Linked DNA regions of Notamacropus eugenii. The protein of the gene in region 1 binds, or shares a complex with, the protein of each later gene. Links are inferred from orthologs where the notes say so. Each region holds a gene or a part of one and is shown in the gene's direction. Other genes may lie near its edges.

What was found. The genes of interacting proteins can lie anywhere in the genome.
Region 2: NME5 (region 1) and DYDC1 share a complex: the UniProt entries of both Homo sapiens proteins name them as parts of the axonemal radial spoke complex. The link is inferred for Notamacropus eugenii from reciprocal best matches to the Homo sapiens genes NME5 and DYDC1.

Annotation. Positions count from the first base shown.
Region 1 is NC_092872.1:365,279,101-365,287,163, reverse strand, and holds the start of NME5 (nucleoside diphosphate kinase homolog 5), read left to right. Parts: upstream 1-5,033; 5' UTR 5,034-5,408; coding exon 5,409-5,537; intron 5,538-8,063. Other genes in the region: BRD8 (bromodomain-containing protein 8), read left to right, coding at 1,371-1,460, 2,242-2,310, 3,167-3,344, 4,528-4,578. UniProt on the Homo sapiens protein: Functions as part of axonemal radial spoke complexes that play an important part in the motility of sperm and cilia. Does not seem to have nucleoside diphosphate kinase (NDPK) activity.
Region 2 is NC_092872.1:227,290,526-227,298,455, forward strand, and holds the start of DYDC1 (DPY30 domain-containing protein 1), read left to right. Parts: upstream 1-4,930; 5' UTR 4,931-5,057; intron 5,058-7,930. UniProt on the Homo sapiens protein: Functions as part of axonemal radial spoke complexes that play an important part in the motility of sperm and cilia. Plays a crucial role during acrosome biogenesis.

The DNA of each region.
Region 1 (8,063 bases):
AATAGGTGGCATGTTGACTTTAAAGTTGGTAAAATGCACTATATATATATGTATGTATGTATGTATATACATATATATATGATTTCCTTTAATTTTCACAATAACCCTGTAAGGTGTATACTGTTATTATCCCTATTAACAGATGAGATAAAGAATTCTTAGAGAAGTTGTAACTTGTCCAGGTTTACATGGCTAGGAACTGTCTGAGGCAGGATATAAAACTTTGGAATCTGCCTGAGCCTAAGTTCACACTCTTAATGCCTCTAATATATCCTGTACCTGTTTATGAGATGTGATAGTGGCTGTGGTATAGCATAGTTATTTTTAATGACCTTGTTTTAGATAGAATTCTGTTTTTTTTAATATGGAAAAAATGCACCACTAACAGAATGCTGGATTGTTGGGCGTTTTTTTTTTTTGGTTGTTTGTTTCAGTTTTTAGGTTTTTTTAATTTTGTTTTTAGATTTTTGCGAAGCTTCTTTGTGGATTTTATTTCTTTTGGAAGCAAAATGAAATGAAAGTGTTTAATTTTGTTCAGATGATTTCAAAACCTGTAAAAGATTTTTTCTGTTTATATTGATGATATCTAGGAAATTGTAATTGTGTATATATTTTGAAATTTTGGAAACTACCTACAATGCCAACATTAGAAGAAATGTATTCCACTGGTCCTATGTGAGACATTAATTTTAAGCAGAAATTCACAGCCATATTAATCTAGGAATATTAAAATCAGTTTTCCTCATTTCCATAGAATTAATATAGTCTGTTAAATTTATAAGATCTCATTTGCGTGGGTTTAAATACAAAAACAAAAATAATTTCTAAATGCATGTGGGGGCAGAAGTACATACAATTAAGCTGTTTTGGCATGAAGGGAAATTTCCTGAAGGTGAAAAATTCTTAGACAGTTGGATTATTGACTAAATATCCTCTCTCCTGAAGTTACAGAAGAGTCTCAACATTTGAGTGCCATTCTGGCTGAGGTCAGGGATGTACTTTATAGGCAAACTATGTTATGTCAGAATTGCAGAAGAACAGATTAGCAGGGGTGAAAAAAAGTAAAGACCAGCGTAGATGTGCTGTCAGAATCACAGAAAAGCCTTCAAAAGAAGCAGACCCATCTTTGAGTTACTGTGAAGACTGAGCTTGTTCATAGTTTTGAGTCTCCTTTATGAAAACTTTGGAAACACAGTATTTCTCATCCTGTAGTGTTTCAGTTTTTTAATGTAGAATAGACATAAAGAGTAAAGTTCCTTCCTTTGGTGAGACCTGATTAAAAGTTAAGGCCTAAACATAGGCAGTACCTTGATTGTCTGCCTAAAAGAATTAGAACAACGTTTGGGAAATGACCATGTCCCTTCTCGTAGGACTGATCCAAACCAGGGTGATCCTGTCAAGGAACAGCTGCTATTCAAGAAAACCCTTCTTCCAGTCTGGAAAATGATTGCCAGTCACAGGTAAGTGTCTCAAATTGGACAGGAAACTGGTAGAATGGCTGTTCACCACTGAAGCATATTACCCATGTCAGAAGATAGGTCAGGCATAGTAGAAGATATGAATATATATCTTGGAAGTGGACCACATAAGACAGTCCTTTCCATCCATCAGCACCAGCAACTACCTTTAAAAAAAACCCTGCTTTTGTAGGTCTCTGGAAGAAAAAGTTGCTGTCATTTGAGTTTTAATTTCTAGTTTTTCTTCAGAAGTGGAACTTTAAGAGATAAAATTATAATTTTTGTTTTCTGAACCTATTATTTCATTGGAATGAGGAATTTCTGGAAAGAAACTCCCTCTATCAATGCAGAACAGTGCCTAGGAAACTAAGAGGTTCCTTTTATGCATGATCATATAGCCACTGTATGTCAGAAGTAGGTCTTGAGCCCAGATCTTCCAACTCCATGGTTGGCTTTCTATTCACTACACTATGCTATCTCTGAGATCAAATTTATATTTGAAATAAATGCTTCTTTCTAGTAGGACCCTATCAGACAGGGTCTCAAACAAGTGTCTGAGCTCTCAAGTGCCATGATATGTGGCATTAGCATAAAGTGTTTCTATATGTTTATACATCAAGAGGGAATTTACAGATTTTTCCACTGCCAGATGATGTTTCCTTGAAGAAGGCTGGCATAGAACAGCACAGGACTCTGTAGTTAACCTGTTCCATCTTCTTCCTGTTTTGATTCAAAGTGACCTGCTGGGGCTCCCCTTATCCTTTCTGGGTTTGTCCCTTACCAGGTTCAGCAGTCCATTTCTGAAACCTGTGTCAGATAGGCAAGCTCCGGGGTACAAGGATGTGGTGAAAAGGTCAGTGAAGAAAGGGGGAAGGAAAGGTTGGTTGCTTCATATCCTTGTGCCTGTTCTCTTTTCATTCTGTTTCCCTGTATTTTAAATGATCTTGTGCCTTATTTGCTGCACTTAGATATAAGGAAAATAATGTTTGTGAGCAGAAGATGCTAATAAAGCTATGAAGAAGTCAACATCTTTCTTTTGGGAGGAAAAGGAGGGTGAGAAAAGACAAATATATCATTTGTAGCAGTGTATACTCTTGAGTCTAAAAGACTTTGGTTAGTACTTTGTAATTTCTGAACATTCCCTTTTGAACTAAAACTTTCAAAAGGAGAATCTGCATGGTCATTGTGAGAACAGTCAGTGTTGGTCATTTCTCACTTATGTTTTTCAAGCTCACCAGGTATAGTCACTGTTGTCTGTTAAGCCCAAGAGAAACTTAGGGAGTTAATATGGGTGTATTAGGGCAAGAAAACGCAATTGGATGCCACATATAAATGAAAGCAGAATTTTATACTAATGTAGCAGTTTTCATAAAAAAATATTTTCTATGTAAGAAATACCCATTTGGGTTATCTTTCCTACATGAGTCCTTTCTTCTCTGGTTTTCTTCACCTGAGGGAAAAAAAAATCATTCTTCATAGCATATGAATTCTCTAAGGAAAGTGGGAGTAAATAAATCAAAGATATTTACAGTGCTCTGCACGCTGAGCACTCAAATGCTTTTTTACTAACCATTTGAATTTCACATTGTGATATCAGGAGCAGTAGCTCCTACTGAAGGGGGAGGTCAGTTATCTAGAAGAATTCATTTGAGCAGTTTATATTCCATATGACTATGTAATTCCTCCTGGTCTTTCTTGGCCACTTGCAGACCCATGGACTTAACGACTCTGAAGAGGAACCTCTCTAAGGGACATATTCGCAGCATGGCACAATTCCAGCGTGATTTGATGTTGATGTTCCAGAATGCTGTAATGTACAATGACTCTGATCACCATGTTTACCACATGGCTATAGAGATGCAAAAAGAGGTCCTAGAGCAGATCCAGGTATTATATCTTAGGGACTTATAGGAAAAGGAGGCCACTTTTCAGAGCATTCACATAAGTGGTGGTCTAAGAGTAGTGCTCTTTCCCTTAGAGATTAGGGGTCTTGACAAAGTGTGGTCCTGAGCCCCTCAGAAGTTCACAATGAAGTTTATATAGCCCAGCAAATCCTAAGCCCCAGTTAGTGTTTCTTTGGAGGAGGCTGGTATAGATGAGCATGGGACTTTGTAGTTGTTCCATCTTCCTGTTTTGATTCAAAGTGACTTTCTGGGGCTCCCCTTATCCTTCCTGGGTTTGTCCTTTACCACATTCACCATTTTTTGAAACCTGTGTCAGAAGGCAAGCTATGGGGTACAGTACGTTGCAGCTCTACATGGAGAAGTAGAATGCCCAAGGATCTTATATTTAGGGTTGGGAAGTTACCTTGGAGATCATCTCCAGGGGTTCTTAACATTTTTTTGTGTCCTGGACCCCTTTGGCAGTTTGGGGAAGCCTATGAACCCCTTCTCAGAATGTTTTTTTTTTAATGCATAAAATACATAGAATTACAAAGGAAGTGAGATATTGAAATAGTTATCAAAATAATAAAACAAATTTACAGATGCCAGGTTAAGAACCCTTGATCTAATCCATCACCCTCATTTTACAGATGAGGAAACTGAGGCCCAGGGAGGTTGTGACTTGCCCAAGGTAACATAGTTGGGATTTTAACCCAGTTTCTCTGACTCCAAATTCAGGGCTCTTTTCACTATGCCACAAGTAGTCAGGGGAAAACAGCAGAGATGGGTTCTCACAAGAGCTGGGGAAAGAGGAAAAGAATCCTGTGAAAGGATGAATTTCTGTGGTGAGATCTTGCAGGTTGCCTGGATCTGTTTCCCAAGCCACAAGTCAACAGCCACTGAGAGGAGAAACTGCAGCCAAACTTGTAAACAAGAAGCTATAGCCCTTGAGCTGCTTTTGCTCGTATAAATTTGACATCATTCCATCTTTGCCCATTCCCAAGGTGTGTGGCAGTCAGAAAAAGGCCTGCATGTGAAGACTGTATGCCTTACAGTTGCACTGAGTTGTTGTCATAAAGTTGTTAGCTGGAGAAGGGGAAAGGATATGTAGCTAGCTGCTCTCACGATGCGCAGACATCCAGGTGCTTTTTGAGATTTACAGCTTTTTCTCCTCTTGCCTGGCACAGGTGCTAAGTATTTGGTTAGACAGAAGAAGAGATTTGAGTCATGTGGACTGATAAACCAGGGGGCCACCGAGAGCCCTTGGGCTCCCCAGCCGGGCGGCTCCGGCGGCCAGCCTGACCTTCCCCCCGCCCTCGGCTCTGAGCGGGCCGAGGCCGTTCCGGAGTCAGGGGCTCCCCGCTCGGCCCTGGCCTGGATCGCATCTCAGAGATTGTTCGAGTTCATGAGTTATCCTTTGTTCGTAACAGTGAGAGGCCTTAAGTCACCCAAGAAGCCCGGGCTGCTGCTAGTCAGGGACCCCGGAGGAGCGGGCGGGGCCGCGGTTTGTGCCTCCTCCCAGGGGCCGCCCACTTCCACCAAGCTTCTTGTGTGACCCATCTTAGAATAAACGTTGTTTAACAAACTTGGCACGGCTTTTTAATGGCGAGGGGGGAGGGAGCCCGGCGGAGCACGGTTCTACCCACGAACCAGGCCTTGTTTGTCAGGGGGAGGGGCGAGGCCGCCACCGAGCGTCCTTGCTGCCTCCTAGCAACCGGAGGGGCCGCGCTGGGCCCGGGCAGGGGCGGGCTGCTGGCTCGGAGGGCCGGCCGGGCGGAGGCGAGACACCGGCAGGGTCCGAGAAGGCCCTGCCAACCCTCTGCGGCCACGCCGGTCACCGTCACCCCCTGTCTGGGCTTCTGGGGCCTCTTCTGCAACAACTGGGCATCCTGCCGTGCCCAGCCCCCGGGGGGGTTGGCGGCGCGGTGCTGGTGGGGGTGGGGAAGCGCCCCGACGGGCTGACCGGAGGGGCGCTGCCCCCGATCGTCAGGAGCCTCGCGGGGCAAGTGGGCCTGGCCTCCTTGCAGTTCGTGGCCGTGGGGAAGCGAAGTGTATCCCGACCGCCAGGATGGAGCTCTTAATGCCCCCGCCCCAGATTTACGTAGAGAGGACCCTGGCCATCATCAAGCCAGACATTGTGGACAAAGAGGAGGAGATAGAGGGCATCATCCTCAAGTCTGGGTTCACCATTGTGCAGGTAAAGGGCTTCATTTCATTGCCTTTCTGAATGGCTGTTTCATTCCATACTAATGAAAAGTTAACCAATAGTATCCTTTTTGTAGGATTTAGTGAATGGGTTTGGGTTTTTTTTTTTTGATTTGCCAAAAAGTTTATTTACCCATTTATGGCAGGACTTGGATGATAATGATTATTTATCAAATAGAATATAATTGGGTATCCTGGATCCCTTAGTTTCTAAAGAGCTAAATATTCCATGATCTAATTACGTACAACAAACCTCCCCTACTATATTGCCTCATTAGAAAGTGTTTTTAAAAGGAAAAGAATAAGCATTCTCTCTTAAAAGAGAAGCTTTTTGAATCTTAAATCTTTTGTATTACCTTCATTTCCAAATATAACCTTCCCACCCCATACCCAGGGACGAGCTCTTACAACAAGAATTTTTAAAAGAAGAAAAAAAGCAGTTCAGCAAAACTAACCAACACATGGACTGGGCCTGACAGTGGAGGAAGCCCCCTAGTCCCTCGCTTTTACAGGAAAGGGAAGAAGATCCAACCAGTCTGGAGAGCGGGTTGGAACTGTGCCCAAAGGGTACAAAACGGGCATACCCTTAGGCCCAGCAATACCACTTCTACAGCTGTATCCCCAAGGGATCATACAAATGGGAAAGGGTCCCACATGTACAAAAGTATTTATAGCAGTACCCTTTGTGGTGGCCCAAAACTGGAAACCGAGGGGATGCCCCTCAACTGGGGAATGGCTGAATAAATTGTGGTATATGAATGTAATGGAATACTATTGTGCTATAAGGAATGATGAACAGGAAGACTTCAGAGAGGTGAAAGGAGCTGAACCAGGAGACCTTTGTGCACAGCAACAACCACCGTGTGCGAGAGTTTTTTCTGGTAGACTTGGAACTTCATTGCAATGCAAGGACTTAAAAAAAATTCCCAATGGTCTTCTAAGGCAAAGTGCCCTCCATACCCAGAGAAAGAACTTTGGAATTCAATCCAAAATGTAGCAGATCACTTTTTTGTGCATGTATTACATTTTGGTTTGTTATATGATTTCTCCCATTCAATTTAATTCTTCTACACAGCATGACTATAGTGAAAATGTATTTAATAAGAATGTTTGAGTAGAACCTATATAAAATTATATGCCATCTCAGGGAGGGAAAAATAATAATCCAAGTTATATAGTAGTGATTGTAAAACACTGAAAATAAATAAAATTAATTAAAAATAAATAAAAATAAAAAAACAAAAACAGAAAGGGAAGGAGGTGCATTTTCTCATCTCTTCTTTGGGCACCAACTTGGTGGTTGTAATTACATAACATTTTTTTTTCCCATTTGTGTTGTAGTGATGTATTTTTTCCAGTCCTGCTTACTTCATTTTGCATCAGTTCATTTAAATTTTCATGTCTTTGAATTCTTCATATTCATTATTTTTTGTGAAACAGTAATATTCCATTATGTTAATGTTTGACCATTTGTTAAGCCATTCAACTCTTTGTTACCACACCTATAATTATTTTCGTATTTATAGGACCTTTCTATTTTTGACCTCCTTGTGGCATATGGCTAGCAGTGAGATCTGTAGGTCAAAAGGTATGAAAGCTTTAGTTATGTTTCCTTCTTAATTCCAAATTGCTTTCTAGAATATTTGGACCAATTCACAGCTTTCTCAGCAGTGTATTTGTGTGGTTGCATTTCTGTAAGCCCCTCCAATGTTGACCTTACTGTCTTTTATCATTTTGACAATATTGGGGTTTAGAAAGTTGGGATGTGAGGTGAAACTCAGAATGATTTGCATTTCTCTTATTAGCAATTTTTGCAGCAATTTTTTTCGCATAGTTGTTCATTTACAGTTCTTCTGAGAACCATTCATGTCCTTTGACCAAATTACTCAGAGAGAAATGACACTTGACCTTGCTATTTATTAGTTCCCATTATACCTTGGACAGCAGACCCTTTGAGGAAGTGAGGTAGAACTATAATTTCATTGGTTTAACTCCCAGAGAGGATGTTTTTTCTACCAATCAATAGATCAATTAGCAGGCATTTACTAAGCTCTTCCAGGCCAGTAACTTACAGTCTCAAGAGAGTTGCATGGGGGCTCCTGTAGGGTGACTTGTCTAGAGTCAGAGAGCAAGGATATATCAGAGCCAAGATATGAATCCCAGTCTTCTTGTCTTCAATTCTCAACTCTTCTTTCTATTTCTGTTTGCTTATTATATGCTGCTTTTCATTAGGCCTTTATTATAGATATTTGATGCAAAGATTTTCCCCCTGATAAATAGCTTCCCTTCTTACCCTCGTTCATTTTTTTCATGCAAAAGCTTTTCAGTAAAGTAAATCCACATAAATCATCAGCATTCTTATATATCACAAACAAAACCCTGAAAGAAGAGATAGTAATACATACCCCATTTACCCCAAAATAACTCTAGACAGTACAAAATATCTGGGGAGTACACCTGCCAAAACAAACCCAGGAACTACATAAACAAAATTATAAAAAACTACACAAAATCAGCT
Region 2 (7,930 bases), about 140 Mb from region 1:
AATGATCAAACTAAACAATACTGAGGAGAGGAAACTTCAAGATTCAATAAGAAGCCCAGCAGAAACTCTAGTTTAGTCTAGAAAGTCATGTCTAGTGGAAAATTCATGAGTAAACCAGAAAGGGAAAAAGAGATTTCTAGCAACTAGGAGCTCTGAATTACCATTCTGCCATGTGTACTTCATACTCTTAAGCCAACTTTCCATTGGATTCTGTTTTTATGGGAGGGAGAGTGTCACAGGTTTTTTGGGGGGGGAGGGGTGGACATTTAGTGCTAAATAATTCTTGCCATACTACATTAATAAACACCTCTTTTTTCTTGGTAATTAATAATCAGATTATTAATTAGACTAGCTAATAATAAATGGAGGTTCTGTAGTTTCTCTCAATAACCAAAGAAGTTTAATGAAGACCCTGAAATTCCCTTGATGAGTGTAAATCAACCCTGATTGGTGGACAGTTAATGAGGAGGTAAATTAGAAGTCTACCTCCTCCTGCTGAGCATATGGCTTAGTCATGCAAAACAGTCTCCTCCAGTAATCTGGACAGGTGAATCTCTCTCCAGTCAGACTACTCTGGTTGGTTTTCCCCTTCATAAGCTGGGATACACTAAACTCTAATGGAGAGATACAAGGGCAGGGCTCTCTTTCTCCAGGGTAAGGATACACATAGACTGGAGTCTTATTATACTCTAAACAGAAGTAAGATCTAGTTGGGTGGGATCCCTGCCCAACACTGAAGAGCATGTTTCTTGGGAACTAGGAATAATCTCATCAATCAGTCATGGCCTTCAGTGACTGACTTTAACAAGAATGAGGAAATTAAAGGGAGAAGTCTGGGTCCCAATTTAATAACTGATTTTTTAATATAATAGTATAATAATAATTTCTCTCAGTTGGGATATAATAAGTTATGACTGGAGATAGAACAAAAGAGTTGACAGAAGAGGATAGTGTAGGATTGAGTTGGTTCACAAATACATGGAGATAGAGATGGGAGAAGAGTGTAGCCAGTGCAGGAATGATGTCCTGGGAAAAAACTGGAGAGATTAAGGAAACAGAGATCACTATGAAGATGGAGAATAATGCTAGGGAGAGATGAAATGACAAAATTACATGGTCAGACAAAGCAATTTCAGAGCTCTTGAACATGGAAGTTGAACACTTGTGGGGGATGGCAAGTTCAAACCTATGTCCCTCATGGTGTATAGCTGACATGGACCAGAGGAGGAAGTAGGTTGAGTATAAAGAATATATAGAGAGAATGAGAAGTAAGTGGATCTGAGGAATCATCCATATATACGTTGAAATCCCCTAGTATCTAGGCAGGAGTTGGGGAAGAGAAAGACCATGAGCCAGGCACCAGACTTATTGAGGAAGGACAGGGAATGTCTCGGGGATTGGTAGATAATCACGATTAGGATCTGGATTGGGTGATAAAGTTGGACCTTATGAACTAAAAAGAGGAGATATTGCTGAGTGGTGGTGGTAGTCCTGAAAGAGTCATGGCCTTAGATATTTTAAAAATGAGTGAGACCCTGGGTCCTATAACTTGTAGCAACCTGGCAGGCTCACATCTACCCATTCCTTGGCCTGGCAGTTGGAATTTGGCCTCCAGGAAGTAATCTTGAGGTGAGACATAATTGGAGGACCCTGGGACCCCATTTTCTTTGGTGCCCTTGAGTTCTTTGGGGCAAGAGTGGCTTTACAGACAAATGGGGTTGTTGTTTTTACTTCAATAAAATGTTTGTGTTCTATACATCAATGACCAAGGAAGGAAACTCATCTATAGTTTGGAGTAAGGAAGCTGGAGACACAGATGTGGCTGGAAAGCTAGGAACCGTCCATGTGCTGACCTCACTCTCTCCTCCCTCAAACCCACTCTAGGTTGGCTTTATAAAAAGTGATTATTGAAAACCAAGGTTGAGAAGTTGAGAGATAAAAATGTCTCCAGCCTGGGGTTAGGCTTTTGCTTCTTCTGGTTCTAGCAACAGGGGCTTCCTCTCTCGGGAAGTACTCTCTCTAGCACTGTTCTTCATCTTCATAGTGATCTCTGTTCCCTCAATCTCTTCAGTGTTTTTTTCCCCAGGACATCATTCCTGCACTGGCTATGCTTATCTTCCCATCCCTATCTCCATGTATTGGTGAACCAACTCAATCCTACACTATCCCCTTCTGTTTACTCCTTTGTTCTATCTCCAGGCATACCTTATTGTATCCCAGTTGAGAAAAATTATTATTATACTATCATATTAATAACCAATTATTAAACTGGGACCCAGGCTTTTCTCTTCAGTTCCTCCTAACTCTCAAAGCTGTTCCCAGTGTTTCAGAGTTCCATATCTGTGATCTTTTGCAAAGGATGGTAGTCTTCCCCAACCTTTCTTCTTTCTGTTTTGAAAAAAAATTCTTTTTATAACTCTTTTAAAAATTAAATTTAACATTTAAATTCTAACATAATTTCTGTTTAAAAATAATTTTTGAGTTTCAAATTCTCTTTCTCCCTCTACTCTCTTCTCTACCCATTGAGAAGGCAAGAAATATAATATTTATTATATACAGTAAGTAATGCAAAATATGTTTCCACATTTGCCATGTTATGGAAGATGGATGGGTGGGCAGGAAGCAAGAAAAATAAAGAGAAAAAAATTCTCCAATCAGCACTGAGAGCCCATCAGTTCTCTTCGTGGAGGTGGATAGCATTTTTCATCATGAATCCTTTGAAATTGTCATGGATGATTGTATTGATCAGTTGCTAATTCTTTCACAGTTGATTTTCATTGCAATCTTGCTAGTATTGTGTATGATATTTTCGTGGTTCTCTTCTCATGATTTCATATGTCTTCTCAGATTTTTCTGAAACCATCTCCATCATTTCTTACAGCACAAAAGCATTCTATCACTTTCTTTTACACTAACTTGTTCAGCCATTCCTCAGTTGATGGGCATTTTTGCCACTACAAAAGAGTTGCTATAAGTATTTTTGCATACATGGGTCTTTTTCCTTTTTCTTTGATCTCTTTGGGATATAGACCTAGTAGTGGTATTGGGTTAAAGGGTATGCACAATTTTATAGCCCTACGGTCATAGTTCCAAATTGCTCTCCAGAATGGTTGGGCTGATTCATAGCTCCACCAACAATGAATTAGTGTACCTATTTTTTCTACATCCCCTCCAACATTTATCATTTTTATTTTTGGTCATTTTGGCCAATTTGATAGGTATAAAAGGGTACTTCAGAGTTGTTTTAATTTGCAATTCTATATTAATTATGTAGAGCATTTTTCAAATGACTATTGAGAGTGCTGATTTCTTCTTTTGAAAACTGCCTGCTCATATCCTTTGTACATTTATCAGTTTGGGAATGGTTCTTATTTTTTTTTCTTTTTGGAAAGGAGAGGTGAGGTAATTGGCGTTAAGTGACTTGCCCAAGGTCTATGGTTCCTGTTTTTATAGATTTGGTTCAGTTTCTTATATTTTTCAGAAATGAGACCTTTATCAAAAAACCCCAAAAACTTGGTGCAAAATTCCCCTTCCAGTTTTCTGCTTTTCTTATTTTGGCTGTGTTAGTTTTGTTTGTACAAACTCTTTTAAACTTACTGTAATACAAGTTATCCATTTTACCTCCCATGATCTTATCTCTTGTTTGATCATGAACTATACCCCTATTCACAGTCAGAGGTTAAGTACCTCTCCGTGGGTCACATGGCTCTTCAGTGTCACTCTGAATCAGTTCATATAAGTCTCTGAATTCTTCATATTCATCCCGACCCATGACACAATAATGTTTTATTCTATTCATGTACCACAATTTGCTTCATCATTCTCTATGTCCTCGGTTTTTGTTGGAAGGGTCTTAGGCTATCTCCTGAAGAGATTCTCCTTTTCTGCAGGAATGGGTTTCCTAATGACTTCAGGGCCAATGGTGATGCTACTGCTGGTGACACTCAGGCCATATTATCGAGCCCAGAACTGAGTATATTTGCTTCCGTACTGGAAGTAGATGTAATGGACTCTTGAAGAGGGGCAATTGCAGAATGTGTAGGAGACCCTTTCCTTTCAGCACCACTCCATTGGTCAATGTACACAGGGGCTGGCTTAAACTCAGACAAGACCTCTCACAATAAGTTACAGATATGGTAGGTGTGACCATAGTCATTTCTGGTGGCAAACCAGTCCTTGATCACAATGTCTAGCTTCACTTTGTCTGTCAATTCTCTCCAATATCCCTCTGCCTTTAGGTCTCCCAGTTGAGACTTGAGGCAGATTCTGGAGAGACATGAGAAGGTTTTCAGTCTCAGGTCTGCTCAGTAGTGGGCTGTGCCCTTCCCCATTGGGGAAGATATAATTTCTGGGCAATTAATCATTTTATTAATCATGCCAGCAGATAATTAATAAAAGGGGTCAATGGCACTCTTGAATGCCAATGACCATAAATATCTCTTTCTAAAACCTAATTAAATCTGGCTGACTAATTGATTTCAATTGATGATGATTATGGGAGGGGGAGGAGCACACCAGGAGGAGTTTACGAGCAATAATTTTAGAAAACTACCCTAAACTCCTTAGGGCCACCTTTTGTACCATGAAAGGTGATCATAGCTAATGTAGCAGTTATACTCTGTGGACCCAAGCTGACTGTAGGAGCAGGAATTAAATCTAAACCTGTGCTACACACATTCATACACATTCTTTCCTTTATTTCCCTTTAGCCAACTTTCTATGATCCTACTTCCATTTCACTGACAAAGTTCTTTAAAAAGTTGGCTATACATGCATTTCTCTTTTCCTTCACCAGACACTTGGAATCTGGCTCATCGCCCACGTCTTTATTGCTTACTCAAAGACTGTCAGTGACCTCATAATGCTTCCCAAACAATGGCTTTAAAATAAATGTCATCATCCTCATTGACTTGTCTATAGCATCGGACACTTTTGACTATTTCTTTCTGGTGGATAGTCTTTGTTCACTTGGCTTCAGAGACACCAGTCTCAGTTTGTTCCCTTCTGACCTTTCTAACGACCCATTCAGCATCTGGAACTCTTCCCAGCTGTTTAAGGTTAGTGTTTTTACCCTTGGTTTTTGTCTTCTCTTTGCACTATCCCCCTAATAATCTCATTCATTCTCATAACTTCAGCTATTGTCAGGATGCAGATGACTCTCAAATCTTTATTTCTATCCCTGATCTCTTCTTGATCTTTATTTCAAGTGCCTACTGGTCATCTCCACATGAAGACACCTATTTAAATGGTAAGATTTACCAACTATCTGAGTCACAAGGTTTAAAGGTAGAAGGATCAATAGAAATCACCTAAGCCCAGACCTTCATTTTGCAGATGAGAAAATTGAAGTCCCTAGTGATTAGGTGTATTGTCCAAGGTCATAGAAGTAGAAATGAATCAAGTCAGGACTGGAAGTAAATTCTTCAACTTCTAAGACTAATTCTCTTTCCTTTTCCCCCCAAACCTATTTCTTCATCTAACTTTGTAATTTCTGTCAATGGCACCACCATTCACACCGGCTGCTATGCTGGAGACCTTATTATAATTTTTAAATTCTTTTTTCCCCCTCAGGCAATGTAGTATAGTGGAATACTTGGCTTCCAGACAGCTTCTTAACTTCTCTGAGCCTTACTTAATAAGTATTTATTAAGCACTTACTATGTATGACAGGAAGTATGTTTCCATATGTAAAATAAGAATGGTAATTCATGTTTTCCCTATCTCACAGGGCTATTGTGCAGAAAGTGCCTTGTAAGGTGCTATATAAAGTGAATCATTACTATTATTTAATCAGTAGTCAAATACTATCAGTTCTTTGTTTTTAAATTTATTTTTTTTTAGTTACATTTTAAGGTCCAAACTATCTCCCTTTATCCCTCCTCACCCACACTAGAGGCCATCACCATTACACACACACACACACACACACACACACACACACACACACACACACACACTCTCTCTCTCTCTCTCTCTCTCTATATATATATATATACACACACATATATGTATACATACATATACACATATACATACATACATATATACACATATATGTATATGAAATATGTATTACATATTTCTATTTATCAGTTCTTTCTCTGGAGGTGGACAGCATCTTCCTTCATAGGTGCTTTGTAATTGATCTGAATATTTATAATACTCAAAATAACTTAGGTGTTCACAATTATTCTTCAAACAATATTGCTATTACTGTATCCAACATTCCCTTGATTATATTTATTTCACTCTTCATTATTCCCTGAAAGTCTCAAGTCCTATCAGTTCTGAACACAACTGACTAGATTAGTGTTGGAAAAAACCTAAGAAATCATCTAGTTTCTTCCCTCCCCCATTTTACAGAAGTAGCATCCTCTCTAGAGCCACTCCCTCAAATCACACTCACATTGGTGGGCCAGGTTGCTAGAGGGCTGCTACTATACCTACTGAGGGAGCAGAATTCTGGAGATAGCACTGAAGATCTGGTTTTCTTGTATTCCCACTAATAAGTTTCCCCACTGATGGCCCTCCCTATTGATGTAACTGGCTTTGAGAAAAGATATTTACTAAGGAGATGTAAAAAGACACTTGTTACAGAAACAGTCCCCAAGCTGGGGATATACTTGGAGCGGGGCATATATTGAGTCCCCAGATAGCCAAGGTCATATAAATAGCAATGTCTCAGGGAGAAAAATTTTCTACTCCTGATAAAGTCTGTTTTTAGCAGTCTTTAGGCAGGATGAAATTTACAAGGAAAGTATTCAATTTATAAGGAAATTCCTCCTGTATGCTGTGGGGGAAGAATTGGTTCTGTACTTTGCTTGAGGGTATCATGGTGCTCTCACAAAAGGCCTTTGGGGAGATTGGGCTCAAACTTAGAAAGCACACAGAACCAAACAGTAAATTAATACCTTCTGGTTACTGTAAGTCCTTTGAAGTACCCCTTAGGTATAGCTCTCTGCTAGGCTTTAAAAGTCATTAGCCACCACTTATCAAGAGACATTGCTACTGATCTGGATGAGAATTCCAGATCTTTCAACTTTTTGAACTTCGCAAAGTCATCATTTATTCAAGGAGAAAGGAATGAAGAAAAACTCTACCCTTCCTCACCACCCCAAACCCCAGGGCAATTTCATCAAAGGAATTCTTACTCACTGAATTGAATCATCACTCAACTCACTGCTAGAAAGCTTATATTTGAACTTGCTTGATGTATATCACAAATGGGCTAAAAGATATGTCTGATTCTTCCAGCCAGTCACAAGACAACTTAGTGAATGTGTGTGTTTGTGTTTGTGCATGCATGTAGCTTCAATCATCTTCATTCAATGATCAAAACACTTTATTCCTTCCAAATTCATCATCTTAACCTTCTTTATCTCTTTGATTCATTTCCTCTAGTTGTCTAAGGCCTTGACTTATACTCTAGACCTAAAATCCAAACTTCCCAGAACAAATCTCCTTAATAAAAGGATCTGTTCTATAAAACTTGGACTCAGTCAAAAGGACCTAGAAGAACCTAGGACCAAGAACCTAGAAGGCCATATGTGGCCTTGAGACTGTATATTCCCCATCCCTGGTATAGGCCTTCTATGACTACATTCAGGGTGAAAACCCCCAGACTTACATAAGCAAGGAAACTGTTGCCGAAAGAAGTAAAACAATTTTTTCAATGTCACACAGATATTCTTTTATAAGACATTTTCATAATAATATTATGGTATCCCTAAGACATGAAATTCTGATATATAAACTATTGTGTTCTTTCAAAATGTCTGGGGAGTTAGATGTTTAAACTCTTTCTTATAGAGAAGAGATAGAAATAGCCATGTGTAGACACTTTAAATGGGCTAAAGAAGTGGGATCTTGATAAATAAAAAAAAAGACCCTTATCACAAGCAGGAGAAAGAACAAAATCTGAAAAGTAATA